5 linked regions of the Danio rerio genome follow. The main gene of each other region encodes a partner of the protein of the gene in region 4 in a complex. Links are inferred from orthologs where the notes say so. Each region holds a gene or a part of one and is shown on either strand. Other genes may lie near its edges.

Region 1 (4,091 bases), on a different chromosome or scaffold from region 4:
ATAATATAATGCTCCAACAAAAAGTACTGCTAATCTGTTATCAACATCCCATATTGAAAGTCATGTTAATTTATTTTAACATGTCAGTAGGTAATATGCCAGTCCGAAAACTATTAAAGTAACTTAAAGTAATTTCACCTAAAAGGGACAGTTTCAAGAAAACAAATATGGTTAATTTATTAAACATTCTGTAAAGTAAACTATTAAAAGTGCTGATAATCACCAGTCTATGATTGTAAGTGTTGTATTGTCGTCTTTCAGGTTGTATTTCAGCTTTGTCGGCTTTTTAAATGAATAAATAAAAAACAAAACAGCTGCTTTTCATGAGGCAGCGGCGCAGTAGGTAGTGCTGTCACCTCACAGCAGGAAGGTCGTTGGGTCGCTGGTTCAAGCCTCGAATCAGTTGGCGTTTCTATGTGGAGTTTGCATGTTCTCCCTGCGTTTCCTCCGGGTGCTCCTGTTTCCCCCACAGTCCAAAGACATGCGGTACAGGTGAATTGGGAAAGCTAAATTTTCTGTAGTGAGTGTGTGTGTGAATGTGTGTGTGGATGTTTCCCAGAGATGGGTTGCAGCTGGAAGGGCATCCGCTGCATAAAAACTTGCTGGATAAGCTGGATGGTGAAATGGGCGCTGCTGTTGCATTGGAATGTTCTATTGAGTGTCGCTGCTTGGTCATTCTAAGCTCCTTGAAGATACACATCAAGCTGCAGACCAGAAGTTCAAAGCATCCTTCTTATGGGATATATGGTAGCTGGATATATGGTAGCTGTTTTAGGATATATGGTAGCTGTTCTTAGGATACATGGTAGCTGTTCACAGTTTATTAGTGTCTATTATTTAATTTATCTTGTACTATATTAGTTAAATGTTTAGTTTATGTCTAGTGTGTGTCATATTTTTGTTTTTAAATTGCACATTGGAGTGTGGGAGAAACGCAGTTTCAGTCTGCTGTGTAATGTACTGTTGCATGGTTTGATTGACATTAAAGTTGACTTGACTTGACTCATGCTTACACGCAAAGCATAATGTGCAATTGTGCATTTTATAAAAAAGGTCTAGCACACCTACTTTTCTAACGTACTAGTTTGTAGTAAAGGGGCGAGGCGAATCTGTCATGGTTACAGGTGTTCAACTGTAGAAAGTAAGTCAAACAGGTTGTTAACGATTGTTAAACGATGACAGAATGTTATCGTATTTTGAGTGAACTATAAAAAAAAATAGTTGTAGTTTTTCCTCCAACCCGATAGATGTCAATCGCGAACATAAATTCCGGTTTGAAAAAAACACTCGCGCGGCGGTTGTGGGTAATATTCATGGCGGAATTCTGAAGCTGCTAAGAAGAGACACACCTTCTCCGTTTTCTCTCCGTCGGTTCAAATTGTGGAATTAATTACACCTTTATCTGTTGAAAAAGTGAATTATCGTCCATATAACTGAAGGAATGGCTGAAACAGGCTCAGGTAGGCGGCGTGTTTGACATACAGCGGGTCTTGCAAAACACTGCAGCTGTTCTCCAGCGCAGCCGGGCATGTAAACAGAGGATTTTACCGCAAACAGATTCTTGTTTTGTTTATAAGTTTTACATTTGTAGCTTTATAAAAGTTTGTAGTTTGGTTTACAGTGCATAGTTTGAATAACAACGTCTAAATAGATAGCTAACTGTTAATGAACTTGCCCAGTAATGCTTGTACGTTAAATGAGTTATGTTGTTTATAGTTAGTTTAGAATATAAATAATGCTTTAATGCATATTATTGTGTAACATTTAGGATTTTGAGTTAGCATTTTATTTAAATAGCTGTTTAAATATATGACAAATGCTTTTGTTTTTATTGTTTAGTGCAGTTTGCAGTCATATAATGGCTGTCAGTGCTGTCCGTGGATATTCATTGAGGTAATAGAGGTAAAGTTGGTTTTATATTTGCACATTCAGACTTTTCCTTAATAATATAATTTCATAAAATTATTATTTGCAAACTCTAAATGGCGAAATCATACTAGCAGCCAGTGACTATCAAAGTCAATTAAACAGTGTTGATGTTGTTTTTAAGTCACACTTGCATGCTAATTCCGATCGAATATTCAAAGTACCATGGTAAACAATATAGAGACTTCCAAATAAACAAATGTGCAAATATAAAACCAACTTTGCCTCTAATAGGGAGTGTGTCACAAGTTGACACCGAATTAATGTGTAAATATAAAACCAACTTTACCTCAGTATTGAGGTAAAGTTAGTTTTATATTCATTCACACATTCTGACTTTTTCCTTAACATAATTAAAAAAAAAATATTCTTTGCAAATTCTAAATATTGAAATCATATTAGACTTTTAAAGTACAACATTGTTCACAGTCAAATAAATAGTGCTGATGTTGTTTTCAAGTTATAATTCGGTGTGATTTCAGACTGAATATATTTTAATTACCATGCTAAACTATGTAGTGAGCATGTCACAAGTAGGCTAAAGAATTCTCACAGGATGATAACCTTGGATAAAAATCTCATGGTTTCACATTATTTTGATAATTGCTCTATTATTATTAAAAAAAAACTATTCCCCATTGAACTCAATATATTTTATTTTGAGAAACATTTATAATATTTTGGAGCTCTAAACATGTCAAACTACATAATTTAAATGAGTCATTGACCTCTGCTGTCTTCATTATTTTCAAAAACACTGATTTCATTACAATTTAAAATGGCATCTTTAAATATATTTTCTGTTGGAGATACTGTTATCCTAAAAAACGTAAAAAAAAAAAAAAACATTCTTACACTTATCTTAGGAATGGTACAGTAGAGCATTTTTGCGGGTTTAAAACCTTGACTTTTTCAAACCTGGTATACCTTGTAAACGGTTATTGCCCAATGCCTAGTCACAAGTTGTTTTCACTGAACGAATGTGCGAAAATAAAACAATCTTTACCTCAATTGAATACTGCATGAGTTGAATATGTCCTGTCATTAACTGCATCTGTTTTCTTTTAAGATCAATCTGGTGACATGAAGCATGACATCGCTTCATCCCCTGGGATGTCGGATTTAGAGAAAGAGGTTGCAACCAATGCTTTCGAGGCGTTTAAGGTAAATAGTTATTATATAGATGTCTGTGAAAGACATATTTTTTGTGATTATTTTTTCCAGATCTCTGTGACATTATATTGCGTTTTTCTTCCAGACTGGAAGCTATGACGAGTCTCTGAAATATCTTGACAACCTTCAGGAGCTGAACAAAGAGGACTACAAGATTACAATGAACAAAGCGGTCACTGAGTTTTATAAAAGTGGGCAGACAACAAGCAGCACCTTGAAGCAGACGCTGATGACCTTGAAGAATCAGGTATGGTATCACTGATGTCTCTATTAAGGGATGCTAAAAGTGAAGGCTTTGAGTTGGAGAGGAAAATTAAGGATGCACCAAAATGATATTTATTTTTTAATCATAGGGTTTAATCTTTTTTTAATAAATTATTCAATATTAACATATATAATATATTTTTTGAGATAAATGGCACATTATGGACACTGTTTTATTCATCTCTTTCTATATATTAAACATTGATTTAGCTTTGACATATGACATCAGTATGATTCAAATATTTTAGAAAAAAGTAATTTTTGATCAATTTATTACATTCTTGTAAATAATAGTCATTTTTATTTACCAACATCTTGTGGAATGATTTATACCATGATGCAAGAAATCTAGTCGAGTCCCGCAGCTCCCATTGTACAGCCGCAGGACTCGACTAGATTTCTTGTATCATGGTATAAATTTCTAAATTAAGTGTGGGAGCGGTCGGTAACTGTTGTTATTTGAATTGGAGGGGGCGGTCTAACAATATCGCTCTCGACTCCCGAGCGAGCACGTGTATGTATGTGTGTGAATGTGAGAGTGTGATGCTGTGTGTCGCTTGCTTGGGGCTGTGCATCTATGTGTGTGTGTGCTTATACAGACAGCTTGTTATAGGCTGTCTGGACCCTGTATCATGTAGCTGGGTGGTTTTTGCCTTTGCTCCTCCGTTCGCGAACACATCAACCCCCGGGAGCGGGATTACAAATTTTAGATCTCTACTGCAGCCCAC
Region 2 (4,070 bases), on a different chromosome or scaffold from region 4:
AATATAATTTAAAATGACACATTCTATTAAAATAAGCATCACAACCAAAATACACTTATACAAGTCACAAATAGGTTTTTCTTTCCTTCATTGAGTCATTACTTTGACTACTAACGTCTAGGCATGGGACGATTTAAAAGTTTGGAATAGACAAGGCTTTAAAACCGCTAAAATGTTCTGTTATATCGTTTATAAGGTATATGTAAGGGTTTACAGTGTATTTTTTTTTTGTGTGTTGTAAAGAAATCTGTGTTTTTGAAACTAATAAAGAGAGCAGAAGTCAATGATTTATTTTTACTATTTACCCTGACATAGTTCATAAAACATAATATATTGCATGGAGAAAGTTTTTTTGTTTTGTTTTACCCAGATATGTAAAAAGCACTTATTTTAGCGCAGTAATGATACCACAAAACTATGCTATTTTTATCCAAGGTTATATCATACTGTCAGAATCTTATACCAGCCCATGCCTACTAATGACTCAAATGTCAAAATGTATGGTGTAATTTTTTTTCTCACAAGTTGTTACTATATTACCAGGTGACAAAATTAATATTAATAATAGTCACACATAACTATAACTCATAACTATATTTACTAATGACCATGAGGAAAATAATTCTATTTACAGGGTTCGTCCTTCATTTCAATGATTTTCAAGTAAGTTTTAATGACCTAATGTTACATGTACTGTCTCCATATACGTGGTAAATAACAAGAAAAACTATGCATGTTAAAGGTTATAATGGAATATCATAAAACAATCTATTAGGTTTAAATGAATCTTTATAGGCTGCACAGTGGCACAGTGGGTATCACCGTGCTCCGGTTTTCCCCACAGTCCAACGACATGTGGTATAGGTGAATAGGGTAAGTTAAATTGTCCGTAGTGTATGTGTGTGAACGAGTGTGTATGGATGTTTCCCAGTGATGGGCTGCACCTGGAAGGGCATCCGCTATGTAAAAACATGCTGGATAAGTTGATGGTTCACTCCGCTGTGGCGACCACAGATTAATAAAGGGACTAAGCAAAAAGAAAATGAATGAATGAATAAATTAATCTTTATATCCATTTAAAATTTATTTAGACAATGTTCACACACTACTAATAATGTGAGAGCATGTGTTCGACCATGGACAGAAAAGAAGTAGGGCTCAACGCTAAGAATTTTTTCTACTGGCCCAATCGGACCAGCTGTTCAGATTTTTACTTGCCCTGCCAATATTTTAACTGGCCCCACCAAAAAAAGTTAATAGCTATTTCTTAGCCACAAATTAAAAAGAAAAACATGTCAAAATGTTTGTAAATCTAGAATTTAAATATTAAAAAAAAAATTAATGTTAATAAACTACTAGTTAATTAATAGTTAATAAATGTATAATGAGCAAAATTCTAAGTGTTCTGAAACAAAGGATGGCTAAAGACCTGCCGAACTGACGGCAAACTGTACAAAACATCACTTAATTGTTTTAGTCGTGGTGTACCCTCGTAAATGTCTGCTTCCAAGACATTAAAAACACATGTCTTCCTTTAGCATAATCATTTGATGTTACCGCCATGTTGGAGTCTCTACGCTGTACTGGTTGATACGGATAAAAATAATGTGCTCACAACATCCAATCAGATAAGAAAAACCGAAAGGTAGCATTTGAAGGCTTGAAAACACAAACTCTTTCTCAATTCTAAGACTGTATTTTGCACGCAATTGACAAATAGTCACAGGCAAATGAAACTAGTGACAAGGCAGCATAAATGATCCTGTCTACTGTCCCAAGCATCTCACACACTGGCCCCGGGCCATCGGGCAGTCCTTATTGTTGAGCTCTGAGAAGTAAAAAAGACAACTGATCTATATTTAAGTATACAGATACCTGTTAAACTAATTTCCATGATTTTTTTCTAAAACTTTGTTGGTTTTTCCGTTTTTCCAGGCCTGGAAAATGCCATGTCAAATTTCCATGACTTTTCCAGGTTTTCAATGACCGTATGAACCCTGCATTTAACTGACTTAAATTATAATATTGTTATTATTATTAAATTATAACGCGATTTATATTGTCATCTATATTTTACATTCAGAAATGCAATTTTTCTCATAAGAAGCCTAATTTTACGGCTTTGTTGACTGAAATATGTTTATATATTACCAGCACCAGCGACTCTCAAACGTGTTAATTTAATTGCGAACATTACATATGTACATTTTGGATACTTGTTTTTTGTTTATACGTCCTCGTTTGATATTTATATTTTTGATGTAAAATGTAATATGCTGTTCTTTAAATGAAAAAAATAAAACACTAACTTAACAACTATGCTAATATTATGTTTACAAAAAGCACACGTAGAAAACGTCAGGCTCGCATAAATTTCTCACATATGACTCTCTAATAACTATAAGTACTTACACTACATTATGTTTAAAGAAAAGTCTAAAATAAAGACGAAAACGAGCTTTAATACAGATCACCATAGTAACTGGTTGAATTAGCTTTAGCCGTTAGCTCTACCAGGCCCCTGCACAAACAAGAGTAAAACCCCGAAAAGCGTCCAGAAACTCACCGCTCCTGTCGCCAACATCCTCGCGACCGCTTTACTGTGCTCTCCAGAATAAAAGTGAACAGTGGTTTTCAAAACAACGAGAAATAAACCAGGTTTACATTAGCAAATGAGGTAAGGGGAAAAAAACAACCGCCTTCCGCAGCTGCCTCTTCTTCTACGCTCCTCTTCTTCTTTTTCTTTCTCTGAGTTGTTGGCGGGTAAGGATCATCTGTGTTCATTGCTGCCCCCATGCCGACTCTTGAGTAGTAGCCTACTATACTTAAAGTGCTTATTTTAAACTCCATTGTTCACTTCTACTAAAAAATAACAATTCATTGATTATAGTTATTATAAATATGCTGTTCATCATAATGGTATTAAAATTATTACGTTATAATGATTATTATGTGATTAATGATAACAATAGGGTATTGATATTTTCATATAATAATAATAATAATAATAATAATAATAATAATCACAACAATAATAATCAATTATTCATTTTTCATCCATTTTCTTTTTGGCTTAGTCCCTTTTTTAATCTGGTGTCGCCACAGCGGAATGAACTGCCAACTAATCCAGTTTATGTTTTACGCAGGGGATGCCCTTCTAGCTGCAACCCATCACTGCATGCCCGTAGCCAGCCTGGTGAAAGGGGTGGTTCTTTTTGACCTTGTGGAACTTTTTTCACTTATACGCCTCAGTTTCTATTTAACTTTGAGATTTGAATACTGCAAGTACTGGTGAAGTTTTTTTTCCCTCTCCGCTGTCGCCACTGCCTCGCATGGTTCAGGATTGGTAGAGCTACGCATCAATGAATCGGCTCTTCAGTGTTTGAACTCTCAGTAATGATTAAATCACACTGAACTGAGCTAAACTGAACTGAACTGAACTTAAACACTAAAACCTGAACCACACTGTTCCAGTTACTATGACCATTTATGTGAAGCTGCTTTGACACAATCTACATTGTAAAAGCGCTATACAAATAAAGCTGAATTGAATTGAATTGAACTGCATTTTAGTGATTTTTTTGCTGGATTAACTAGTCAGATGTCATCAAAACCGCACTTTTTGATGTACTAAAAATATGTCTTAAAAATTGCATTAAAAAAATAAAACAAGACTAATTTTTAAAATACAAATTTATTAAATAATATACAGTATCATTAAGAAAAAATAGCAATCTGTCAAAGTTTTGAAGTAAAATAATTGTTGCCCACTAACATTTATTAGACAAAAAACAAACTGGCCAGCACACGCAACTGCCCTTAGTCACAATTTGGCCAAAAAATGTTAAAATTTAATAATAATAATAATAATAAAACAATTATAATGAATTTTGCAGAATTGTTCTAGTCTCTTTGGTAAAAAAAAATACAATTGAAAAATCCTAGATATGAACAATAGCCAACATATATTCTAATTAATTTAATATGGTCTGCTTCTGATGCTTCACATCTTTTTAATGCTCATTTTTATTTCAGAAATAAGGTCCCAGATTTAGAATAAAAGTAACCTG
Region 3 (4,279 bases), on a different chromosome or scaffold from region 4:
AACTCTATCTCCTCCTAGAGCTTTCAAGCTATGACCACCAAACTCACACCAGACCTCCAAACTGGTCTGACTCGGGTTGCTATATCTTTTCCGACTGATCCGACTTTCGGTTTTCCGAAAAACGTCCCGGGACCATCGGAAAAATCCCATTGACTTAACATTGGACCAATCTTTGTGACCTCATAACTCTGCATCAGACTGTCCTACAGACTTCTAACTGGGCTCATTTAACTCAGACTACCTAACTGCCAATAACTGATGAGCTTTTAACTTTCTGGCCACACCCTAGCAACCACTTTTGGGACCCTAGAAACTGTCCCATAGACTTCCACTGCAAAAGACTCTCATTGACTTTACATTGGGTCAAACTTTGTGAGCTCATAACTCTACATGAAACTGTTGCACAGACTTTTAACTGGGCTCAATTAACTCAGACTACCAAACTACCAATAACTGATGAGCTTTTAACTTTCTAGCCACACCCCTAACAACCAGATGCGGCACCCTAGCAACGATCCCATAGACTGCTATTATAGAGGTTCAGACTGATATCGTCATGCTGCAGTGAGATAGAGACATGTGTTGCTTTTAACTGTTCATACTGGCAAGAAGCTTTGATACATCAACAGTCTAAACTGTCAATCAACTCCATAGCAACAAAACAGACTAACCTAGCAACGATTTAACAGCAGCTATATCTTAGTATCAGAACATCTTAGAGAAGCTGGGGTTGGCTTGTTTGACTCATGCTAGCAAACCATCTATCTATCTATCTATCTGTCTGTCTATCTATCTATCTATCTATCTATCTATCTATCTATCTATCTATCTATCTATCTATCTATCTATCTATCTATCTATCTATCTATCTATCTATCTATCTATCATCTATCTATCTATCTATCTATCTATCTATCTATCTATCTGTCTGTCTGTCTATCTATCTATCTATCATGCTAATTCATGCTAGAATCATCTTTTCATACTTTTTAAAACTGTTTAAACTAAATAAACTATTATCATCAGGCTTTCACAAGCCTGCCTCAAAGTTTGTCCTCAAACTTTAAGAATCTAGTTACAAATGTTTCTTTACAATAGTATCTTTGGATACCTTTTCTGCTGGAGATACTGTTGTCCTAAAAAAAAAAAAAAAAAAAAAACTGAATACAAATTATTACACATACCTTGTAAGAAACGTTATAGCTGAAAATTTGGGCGGTTTTAAAACGTTGACTTTTCCAAAGTACAGTATACCTTGAGAACGGCTATTGTCCCATGCCAGACAGATAGATAAACAGAGAGATAATATGAATATATAGAAAATAATATGAAAATAAACATTACCTGGGGGTTATGAAGCATAAACATAAAAATAACTAAATTGCACATCAGCGTCTTTATTTACGAACATAAAACTCCCACGAGGAGTTCAAAGGTCAGGCGTCGTGGTGTTGTGACGTCACGCTGTAGCGCTGTGATGTAGTTTCAGAGGTGGCAGCTGGTTGTTGATATCGGTGTTAGCCCAATAAAACTATATAAAAGTAAAGAACAAACGTCCCAGTCCTTTCTAAACAAGGTGATTGTGTATTACTGAAGCAGTATACGCTTTAAGTGTAACTACCTTGTTTGAGGAAAGGTAAGTCCTGACAGAAAAAAAGTCAAGTTTGATCATTCTAACAGGACAAACTTTGTGGCTAAGCTAGTAGCTAACACGCTAGCCTCATACAGAAATAAACATTCACCCCGTTCTCCAAACAGCACAATTCACACGTTACGAGAGGCTACTAACACAGTTCTTTGAAAGCTTAGTGTAGACGTGATTTCAGGACGTTTGCGGTGTTGTTTTTTCAGTTTAGCAGATTTTGTCCTAGCTGCTGCTGATGCTTCTAACCTGTCAACCCACAGTAAGTTATTTGGGCGTTTAATAGCTTAAGGACATGTGAGGCAGAATACAATAGACTATAAAATCACTTTAACGTGCATGAATATTCAAAAGCATTTTTGGCACACAACCAATCTTCCTACATGCTTTGTTTGCATATTGAAGTGAATGCTTCTGTTAGCCTGAAACCATGTTGTCTTATCTGGCACTTGTTGTAATGTTTAGTCACACTACAGTAGTTTTTTTCTGTATGTTGTAAGTATGAATCATTATTCAAATGCTGTCATGAAGCAAAAATAGCAGCCGAGGAGTCATGTTTACAAAGAGGAAGCTTAGAGGAAGAAAATCTCCTTCTGTTTCTAATCTTCATAATGCTGTCTGGAATGAAAAGGTTGTTCATCTAACAAAGTGTGAAATTTGTAAACACATTTATATTGATTTACCCAAGTGAATCATCCAGGCCATGGCAGACGTAGGATCCACAACTAAATTCACAGACAAGTTTAGTTGTTATTTAGAGTTTAGAGCAGAAAATTCAGTTTGTGCATACTTGATTACAAAATTCTCATTTTAATGACAGATGATGGACTTTTGGTGACATATATAAACCATTTAGTACATATTCTTTTATTCATTCTGCATTTTGAACACTGTTTATTTACACTTTCATAAAATGAATTTGCATTTTATTTATTTGTTAGTGTATTGTTTGTGATGTAGTAAGAATAAAGTCATTTGATTTAAATCAGCAGGCTAGTTGTAATGCTTTGTTTGTTTTTGCAGGCAAAAAGAGGGAACAAGCAACTATTATTTCATGAGAATATCCCCTGGGGAGTGTTTTTTTGGTTTTGATGCCGTGCACCTGAGAGTGGAACTATGCCCGCAGCCACTGTGGATCATAGCCAGAGAATATGTGAGGTTTGGGCCTGTAATCTGGAAGAAGAGATGAAGAGGATCCGACAGGTGACCCGAAAGTTCAACTACATTGCAATGGTGAGTTTGAAAGTCATGTTGTTTCATTTAAATGAGTCCAGTTTTATTTTTCACATGTAATCTAGGATTGTTGCTTAGCAAGTTTAAATAGTGCTGTTAATATCCAGAATGTCTACATCAGATGTCACAGAGGTGTAAGGGCATGTGATGATTGTTATACTTGTTGTTTAAATTTCGTTTAAGCTGTATGTCACTCCCTTAGCTTTGCACAAAACAAAAACACATCTTGAGGGCCCAAAAGCATTAAACTAGATAGGCCTGTGTAATTCAAGTGAAGAAAGAAAAAAACAGTTTGTGTTTTTATAATTACACATGCATTCTGGGATCGAATGCTTCAAATAGACAGCCTTTTCAGATCATTTTTAATGCAACAGTTTGCTTTATACCCAGCCTGTAACATCGGTATCTATACATTTTCTATACATTTTTATCAATTTTATTTTGCTATACATGAAAAAGTTAAAAAAAGATAGTTATGGTTGCATAAAATGTGTTTGTATTTTTATAAAAACAAATTCAGAAGCATCACCTGAGCTGTAATGTTTCAGAAAAGACCAGAGGCATTGTCACCTGGCCAAATGTGAAACACTTGTGTTGTCATCAAAGCTTGTGCAGTAACACAAGGGAAAGGGAAGGAGGAAAAAAAACTTGACATCGGTGTAGTCTCAAGTTGGATAAAGTAGCATTCACTGCTTTAAGTCAGATGCTGTTCAGTATGTGCTGCCCTGCAAGTCAAATACACAGTCACATTTAATTTTGAAATAAAGCAGATTGCAGTTTTAATTGCATTGCTTAAATCAGTGGTTCCCAAAGAGGGGGTTGGCACCCCCTGGGGGGGTGGGGAGGGGTCGCAGGACAATGTGGGAGAGCCGCTTGATGATTTCCAAAAATTGATTAAATTTAAATAAACTATTAGAATTACTATATTTTATTCATAATCTACAGAGCACACAAATAGTATTTAATAGTTACATTAAACAACATGGGCAGCATGGTGGCGCAGTGGGTAGCACAATTGCCTCACAGCAAGAAAGCCGCTGGTTCAAGCTCCCACTGGGTCAGTTGGCATTTCTGTGTGGAGTTTGCATGTTCTCTCCGTGTTCGCGTGGGTTTCCTCCGGGTGCTTCGGTTTCCCCCACAAGTCCAAAAACATGTGGTATAGGTGAATTGAGTAAGCTAAATTGCACATAGTGTATGTTTGTGAACCCAGTGATGGGTTGCAGCTGGAAGGGCATCCGCTGTGTAAAACATATGCTGGATAAGTTGGTAGTTCATTCCGCTGTGGCGACCCCAGATTAATAAAGGGACTAAACCAAAAAGAAAATAAATGAATGAATTAAACAGCATACAAATAAAAATCTGCCTTTTTGTTTTGTTTTTTCTTTCATTGGATTGAGACTCCTG
Region 4 (3,500 bases):
AAACTCACATTGGTAGCATTTAACAATGAATAAAGCACATAATCTGTACCTGAGGTGATAATAGTTGTTTATGCTGCAGAAATAGATAAGGTTTCTAAAATAGAAATTTCACGTGTCGCATATGGTTAGGACGAAAACTACTTTTACATGGAAGGACACTGTTTTATTGCGTGCTGCGGCACCATGTGCTAGTTTTTAGTGCGCATAATTACAAAATAAAATAATAACAAACAAAAAAAAAATCCCAAATGTACGTCCAGACTTACCTGTTGATGGTGAATGGCTGGCGTGCTGGCTGCTGCTTGGGCATGCAGATAATGCTGGGAGAGCTGCGGTTTGGGCTGCCCAGGCCAGAACTGCCCATACTGTTGGTCCTGCCGCTCATACCCATGCCCTGCCCTACCTGCGAGCTCATCATGTTCCTGGTGTTCATGGGTAGGATCCCCCTGTTGAACATCATTAAGATTTGAATTTAAAGCTCGCCCAAGAATGAACATGTACTCACCATTGACTAAAAAAAAAAAAAAAAATCACAAAAATCACATAAAAATCACAAGGGTCACAAAAGCTTAACGACAAGAGTTCATAGAGATGTTGACTACAAGAATTCCATGACTTTTAAATAAATACTAATGACCTAATGATTCATGTAATATCTATGTGTACATGGTAGGGCTGCTCGATTATGGGAAAAATCATAATCACTATTATTTAGGTCATAATTGTAATCACGATTATTCAAAACGATTATCAGTTGAAGTCAAAATTATTAGCGCTCCTGAGATTATTATTTTTTTTTTAAACAACTATTTCCCAAATTATGTTTAACAAAGCAAGGAATTTTAACAGTATTTCCTCTAATATTTTTTCTTCTGTAGAAAGGCTTATTTGTTTTTATTTTGGCTAGAATAAAAGCAGGTTTAAATATTTTGAAACCCATTTTAAGGTCAATATTATTAGCCCCCTTAAGCAAAAAATATTTTTGATTGTCTGCAGAATGATTCTCTACTTGTATGTTTATTACACAAGTAAGGGTTAATATGAATAATCACTAAACACCGGGTTTTGACACCTATTTGACCATTAAATCGCTCACATTAAGATGACTTTAGATGTGTGCGCTCTGCTCGTCTTAGTGTGCGAATGATGAGACCGCATACTTCTGTGTGTGCGCGCTACACACACACAAAGCTACACACACACATAAGCATGCGGTCTTTCACGCTGCTAAGTTAATAATCGTTTATCTCGATTAATGGTTTTTCATAATCGTTAGAAGCTAAAATCGAAATCGGATTTTCGATTAATTGCACAGCCCTAGTACATGGTAAATAATAAGAAAAAAGCACATTCAAATTTACTATAAAACACAATAAATACATGACAATCTATGTAGTTTACAATACAAAACAAAATTTATTTGGTAACACCTATATAACAATAATGTGAAAGCATGTGACAAATATTATTATACGTTTATGTAAAGAAAAAAGGTTGTAACAACACACACTACCCGTAAGCATCACTTGTAAACAAAATCTTAGAATGACAGAAAATTAATGAAAACTAAATAACATGTAGAATTGCAATTCATTTCACAAAATGATAAATAATTAGTAAAAAACAAAAACACTTATCAATTTTAATCAAAAGTAAACACTAGAAAGAGGCTAAATTATTTAAGCAACAATAATTCAATTTATAGAATTCTCAATTATATTTATTTAATTCTTAATTATATACATTTAACTATTTATTTATGAGTTCAGATGCAAAATCCTCTAAACCCTTCAGACCTCCAGAGCATTTTCTATCAGGCTCCTATAACTAGGTTTAGACATTTCATTTTATAGATAATAAAAAAGTCATTAGCTAGTACATCAAATAACTTTTTTCAAAAATGTCACTAGACAACTTTTGCTTTTTTAACAAGGTGGATTTTTTTGGCATCAAAACCAGCTAAATTAACTTGTGCTTTTTTTTTTTTTTTTTTTGCAAAAACCACTTCTAAATCCACCTATTGGGACAAGAATTAGATGAAATTATTTTACCAAACATAAAACATTACACAAACCACCTAAAGTTGAAAATACATAAATCTGTCAAGTAAGTGGCTGTTCATTCCGCTGTGGTAACCCCCGATAAACCAGGGACTATATGGAAAATGAATGAATGAAATCTGTCAAGTAAGTGCATTAAACAATAACATTAAAATTGACATTACATCTTAACATTCTGTTGTCATTTCTGATATTTGGGATTTAGATTTAATATAGTGCAAAGTAAAAATTGTAAACTAAGCTTGTTAGATTCGAATGATGTAGTGTAAAAACATCAATATCTTTGCACTGTCCATTAATAAAAAGTAATACAATTTATTGAAGAAATATAATGTCAAAGTTGTAAGCATTATATTTATCTTTTTTAAAAATTGCTTACACTCTAAGAGTGCTTTCACACCTACACTTTTGCTTCGGAACCTGTCTCGTTTGCCCAGTTAGTGTGGTTCGTTTGGCATATGTTAAACCCCCAATCGCTCTCAGATTCGCGCCAAATCAATCGCTCCGAGATCGCTTGAATGAGGTGGTCTCGGAGCGATTGAAACAAACTCTGGAGCGGATCGATTGCAGTAAGAAAGCAATCTGATCCGAGCGCGGTTATATCACTGTGTTTTATGGATATGTAATAGGCAAACGGCTATATGAACAGAAAATTATGAGTAGGGCGGGAAGTTTTGCAAGTCTCCAGATGCCCGCAAATGAATGATAATCTCCCGGTAATCTCGTGTCTCCCTCTCGGTCCTCAAAAAGGCTACGTCGTGCACCCTTCTCACCCTCTCCTCACTCTTTACACACGTCGCGCGCACCTTGTCAAACACCACCAAACCACCACCTCTCCTGACAGCTGAGCGGGACTGCAAAATAAACCCTGACACTCTGACCAATGTGAGGAGAGTTTACTCTCACATGACTTGTTTTAGCTCTTTTGGTCCGATTAGAAACTTTGCAGTGTGAAAGCGAACCGCACCAAGAGCAAAGAGCAACAATGTAACATTTGTAATCTCTATTTCGGAACAACTGAATCGATTCACAGGTGTGAAAGCACCCTCAGACACTTTTAAAAGCTGTCATTCATTCATTTCTTCTCACAATACTCAAGGTCTTGGTCTCTTTTTTGTCTCTTGTTTATCCTCATAGCATCCATGTGGGATAAAAGAACAGCATCTTAACTTTGTCTTTCGTGAAATGGAGTTGCCGTTTTAAGTAATGAATAGTAAATCGGACTCATTTAAAGTAGCTTGACTGTGCAAAAAAAAAAAAACATGCATGTTACATAAGGGTGTCACGATCCTCCAAATCCTCGATTCGATTACATTTTCGATTCTAAAGGCACGATTCGATTCGATTTTCGATTATGAATAATTAATTAATTAATGACCAATCATCATTTAATCATTTGTAGCCTACCGTTTAAACTACCTGACCTGCATGGTCTTTGTT
Region 5 (4,296 bases), on a different chromosome or scaffold from region 4:
AGATTAGACAGATCTTAATGAGCCAGAGTCATGATGCTGAGTTACTCTAACCCCCCCCCCCCCACACACACACACACACACACGCACACACACACACACACATACACACACACAATCATCCTAAACTATAATAAACAATCTTCAAGCTAAGATAAGTACACTACAGAGAAGATAAAAGTAAAATAAATAGTGCTTTATGGTGTTCTGCGAGGTATAGCAGTACTCACAGGGCTCGACAGTGCAACCATTTCACTCAAATATATGCGATTAAAAAAAGACGTGTGCGAACTGGAAAATGTATTTAGTCACATGTGCGATTTTCTTTTTCAGTAATTTACTTTCATTCATTCAGTCATTTTCTTTTTCAGCTTAGTCCCTTTATTAATCAGGGGTCGCCACAGGGGAATGAACCGCCAACTATTCCAGCATATGTTTTACACAGCAGATGCTCTTCCAGCTGCAACCCATCACTGGGAAACACCCATACACACTCATACACTACGGCCAGTGTAGTTGATCAGTTCCCCTATAGCGCATGTGTTTGGACTGTGGGGGAAACCGGAGCACTCGGAGGAAACCCACACTAACACGGGGAGAACATGCAAACTCCACACAGAAACACCAACTGAGCCAGCCGAGACTCAAACCAGAGACCTTCTTGCTGTGAGGTGAAGGTGCTATGCACTGCCTCACCGCGACGCTACAGCCTAAATTATAAATTATTATTATTATTATTTGCACATTCATTCGTTTTTGAACAGTAAAAGGTTGTGACGCGCTACTCTGAATGTTTGGTCAGACTTTGAAATAACAGCAGCTTTATTTAATTGACCGTCAACTGTGTTGTACTATGATGAAAAATTCTGAAATGACATTAAGAAGGTGAAAGTCAAAATGTGCAAATATTAAAACAACTTCACCTCAATACTTTCCAGGGCCTTCGATGATTTATTTTTATCACAAACTATCAAGGATTTCAATGACGTGTGCGAAGATGGTTTACAGCAGTTTAACTTCAATAAATGAAACAAATATCACTTAGCATCCCATATAACACATTCAATTAATATTTATGATCAGATTATTAGTTTTATGGTTAATCTCCATCCTCAGAGGATTTGAGATGTTTTAGATCATTGAGTGTTTCCCTAAGTGGTGGTCGGGACAATGAGGAGGGGTCACTTATCGATGTCCAACAATCAAATTCATTTTAGTAAACAATTAGAGCGACCATATTTCATCCATAATCTACTGAAGAGCACAATAGTAGTTGATAGTAGCATCGTTAACATGTTGATAATAAACTTTAATAAAAACACAACATGCAAACAAAAATCTAAACCCTGATGGCTTTTTGTTTGCAACCCCTCGGCTGATTATGCTATTTTAAAGACACAGCAATAGTGTCAGATGCAGCACAGCGATTTTATGGCATCAGGTTAAACTTTCTGACACATAAACAGCACTCAGGTAGATTAAAAATAAATACAGGTCTCAACTGAACATGGGAGATGGTCTCCGAGTGGCGTTCTCCAAAATTAAACGATGAACAGACTTGGGCCTACTGGTATATTTGCGCTGCTGTGTGCAAGGACTATATATATATACAGTTGAAGTCTGAATTATTCGCCCCCCTGTTTATTTCCCCCCAATTTCTGTTGAAGGGAGAGCAGATTTCTTCAGCACATTTCTAATAATAATAGTGTTAATAACTCATCTCTAATAACTGATTTATTTTCTCTTCATCATGATGACAGCACATAATATTAGACTAGATATTCTTCAAGACACTAGTGTTCAGCTTAAAGTGACATGTAAAGGCTTCACTAGGGTAATTAGGGTAACTAGGCAGGTTAGGGTAATTAGGCAAGTCATAGTATAACGATGGTTTGTTCTGTAGATTATTGAGAAAAATATATATCTTAAAGAGGCTAATAATAATTGACCTTAAAATGGTTTTTAAAAATTAAAAACGGCTTTTATTCTAGCTGAAATCAGACTTTCTCCAGAAGAACAAATAATATCAGGCAAACTGTAAACATTTCTTTGCTCTGTTAAACATCATTAGGGAAATATTTAAAAAAAATGTAAAAAATTAAAAGGGGCAAATAATTCTGACTTTAACTGTATAACCACCTCACAGAATATTGGGGGTCGTGAGTCCCTGGCACTGTTATTATGGGGGTCGCGAGCTGAAAGGTTTGGGAACCCCTGTTTTTAGATCATTCCACCACTGAGGAACAGAGACAGCAAAGGTTCTGGAATGACAGTCATAAGTGTAATACTCCATAAATAGATGACAAAGTAAAACAAAGTTAGTGTTCATCATGAAATATTATTAAAATATTCTTAGCATTAACATTTAATTGCAAAAACATGAAGCATGAGCTTAATTACACTCTATAAAGAACTGTAATAGTGGATAATGAAGTCAAACACTCAGTCAGAAGGCTTGTAGGACTGTTTTCATCAAAATATGAACTATATTCACTAATAAGTCTAAGTAAACACACTGTTGGTCAATTTTTTAGTGCTCTCCTAATCAATAAACCTCACTATAAGCAGTCTATGTAGGGAGCTCGGTGTGTTTTGACACACAGTGAGTAATAATAACATTTACCTGAGCGGTGTTCATCACCTCCCGGCAGATCATGAATATTCAACGCGGGCCGACACGGCGACACTCCAGCACAAAGATAACGATCAAACGCGATATAATACGCGTTAATGTTTGAATTATTCAGTGTTTTAACCTGAATGTGTTTCTTCACTTCTACTCACAACCGTCGCGGGTGTACGTGAGCACTTCCTGTGCGGCGCGCAGCACCATGGGAGATGTAGTTGACCACAAAACTACACTAATCGCCTTAAATCAAATTTGATGCATTCACGCATATATAAAGTAGTTACATGCAGGCATAGTTATAGCATACATGCTGTTATGTTTTTTTTACATGCTGTTATGGTTGAGAACAGAATGATACAAACGTTAGTATGACCCGGATGTGAACGCGCGCTCCGCCTTTGTATGTGTCCCATAATCCACCGCTCTTCCTTTTCCACATCCAGCGCACAGAGTGAGTACCGTTCTCTCATTCATGTTTCATAAATCCACCATCATCCGCCTTATCGATCACTAATAATCAAATATGCTGCTGTGTATGAGTGTAGAAACGCGTTATCGATCAGCGAGCGCCGGTTTGGCGGGGTTTAATCACAGATGTGAGCTTAAATGGAGTTCATTCTGAAACGCCGCAGTCTGACGAGCCGAAAGAGCAAAACCGGCGGGAAAACCGCAGTAAAACACCGAAATAAACCCTCAGTTCACCATAATAAGCGCTGTTTACATGGCTAAAGCTTATGCTCGTAGTGTAATGAGAGTAATGCAGCAGTTCGCTAGGTAGTGGGCCACCGTGTAGTGCACTTGAGTACGGGTTGAGCGTGTCAGTCATTACTGACGAGGTAAATTCATGTTTACAAATGAAACGGTATCTAGAAAGAGATCTAGACCGTTCTATTTAGGTTAACCTGTTTGTTATGGGTTAATAGTGACGTCAAGTGTTAATGTGTGTTTGTGTTTAGATGGCGTTTACATGTGTGGAGTAATATAATACGCGTAGCTGTGCTTTATATTCTAATAATCCACTCTGCCGGAGCTGATTATTGTGCTTCTCTGATCTCCACAGATAAATCCGCTGTACAGATGTTGTATGTTGAGTGTATTAGTCGGGTGTTTGTCCTCCTCAAATGTCTAGTGTCCTCCAGATCTACTTCTGATGTGATGTCTTACTGTTGTAGCTGTGTAATAACTCTAATCATACAGCGGAGTAACATGGAACTGTAATGCGCTCTAAACCTGCTGGAACTACTTTAGCTGTGATTTTATCTGACAATCAAACGTTCAGTGTGTCTGTTGTGTAAATGTAATTAACCTTTTGTGATGTTGTTATGTGTGTTTAGATGGCACCCAAGAAGGGCGAGAAGAAGAAGGGCCGCTCGGCCATCAATGAAGTGGTGACCCGTGAATACACCATCAACATCCACAAGCGCATCCACGGCATGTGAGTGCCCACAAACACTGCTCTGAGTTTAAGTGCACATTTCTGTATGCAATGATCCAAAATGTGCATAAAGTAATGCGTAATGCATGGTTTATACGGTCATGGAATTTTGCTTGGAAAAGTTCTGGTAAATCTGAAAAAGTTCTGGAAATTACTTTAACAAATAACTGCATATTAAATGTGGGTTAGTTGTCTTATTTTCTCTCCATGGCCAAACACATGTACAGATTCATTC

What was found.
Region 1: cnot2 (region 4) and cnot10 share a complex: the UniProt entries of both Homo sapiens proteins name them as parts of the CCR4-NOT complex. The link is inferred for Danio rerio from reciprocal best matches to the Homo sapiens genes CNOT2 and CNOT10.
Region 2: cnot2 (region 4) and cnot9 share a complex: the UniProt entries of both Homo sapiens proteins name them as parts of the CCR4-NOT complex. The link is inferred for Danio rerio from reciprocal best matches to the Homo sapiens genes CNOT2 and CNOT9.
Region 3: cnot2 (region 4) and cnot7 share a complex: the UniProt entries of both Homo sapiens proteins name them as parts of the CCR4-NOT complex. The link is inferred for Danio rerio from reciprocal best matches to the Homo sapiens genes CNOT2 and CNOT7.
Region 5: cnot2 (region 4) and cnot11 share a complex: the UniProt entries of both Homo sapiens proteins name them as parts of the CCR4-NOT complex. The link is inferred for Danio rerio from reciprocal best matches to the Homo sapiens genes CNOT2 and CNOT11.

The regions. Positions count from the first base shown.
Region 1 is NC_133191.1:8,036,391-8,040,481, forward strand, and holds the start of cnot10 (CCR4-NOT transcription complex subunit 10), read left to right. Parts: upstream 1-1,291; 5' UTR 1,292-1,441; coding exon 1,442-1,460; intron 1,461-1,839; exon of another isoform or gene 1,840-1,902; intron 1,903-2,995; coding exon 2,996-3,090; intron 3,091-3,184; coding exon 3,185-3,346; intron 3,347-4,091. UniProt on the Homo sapiens protein: Component of the CCR4-NOT complex which is one of the major cellular mRNA deadenylases and is linked to various cellular processes including bulk mRNA degradation, miRNA-mediated repression, translational repression during translational initiation and general transcription regulation.
Region 2 is NC_133197.1:12,453,816-12,457,885, forward strand, and holds the start of cnot9 (CCR4-NOT transcription complex subunit 9), read right to left. Parts: upstream 2,801-4,070; 5' UTR 2,585-2,800; coding exon 2,567-2,584; intron 1-2,566. UniProt on the Homo sapiens protein: Component of the CCR4-NOT complex which is one of the major cellular mRNA deadenylases and is linked to various cellular processes including bulk mRNA degradation, miRNA-mediated repression, translational repression during translational initiation and general transcription regulation.
Region 3 is NC_133189.1:34,918,124-34,922,402, forward strand, and holds the start of cnot7 (CCR4-NOT transcription complex subunit 7), read left to right. Parts: upstream 1-1,479; 5' UTR 1,480-1,636; exon of another isoform or gene 1,637-1,904; intron 1,905-2,665; 5' UTR 2,666-2,758; coding exon 2,759-2,875; intron 2,876-4,279. UniProt on the Homo sapiens protein: Has 3'-5' poly(A) exoribonuclease activity for synthetic poly(A) RNA substrate. Its function seems to be partially redundant with that of CNOT8.
Region 4 is NC_133200.1:31,065,175-31,068,674, reverse strand, and holds part of cnot2 (CCR4-NOT transcription complex subunit 2), read right to left. Parts: intron 447-3,500; coding exon 267-446; intron 1-266. UniProt on the Homo sapiens protein: Component of the CCR4-NOT complex which is one of the major cellular mRNA deadenylases and is linked to various cellular processes including bulk mRNA degradation, miRNA-mediated repression, translational repression during translational initiation and general transcription regulation.
Region 5 is NC_133184.1:58,585,888-58,590,183, reverse strand, and holds the start of cnot11 (CCR4-NOT transcription complex subunit 11), read right to left. Parts: upstream 2,801-4,296; 5' UTR 2,621-2,800; intron 1-2,620. Other genes in the region: rpl31 (large ribosomal subunit protein eL31), read left to right, coding at 3,961-4,061. UniProt on the Homo sapiens protein: Component of the CCR4-NOT complex which is one of the major cellular mRNA deadenylases and is linked to various cellular processes including bulk mRNA degradation, miRNA-mediated repression, translational repression during translational initiation and general transcription regulation.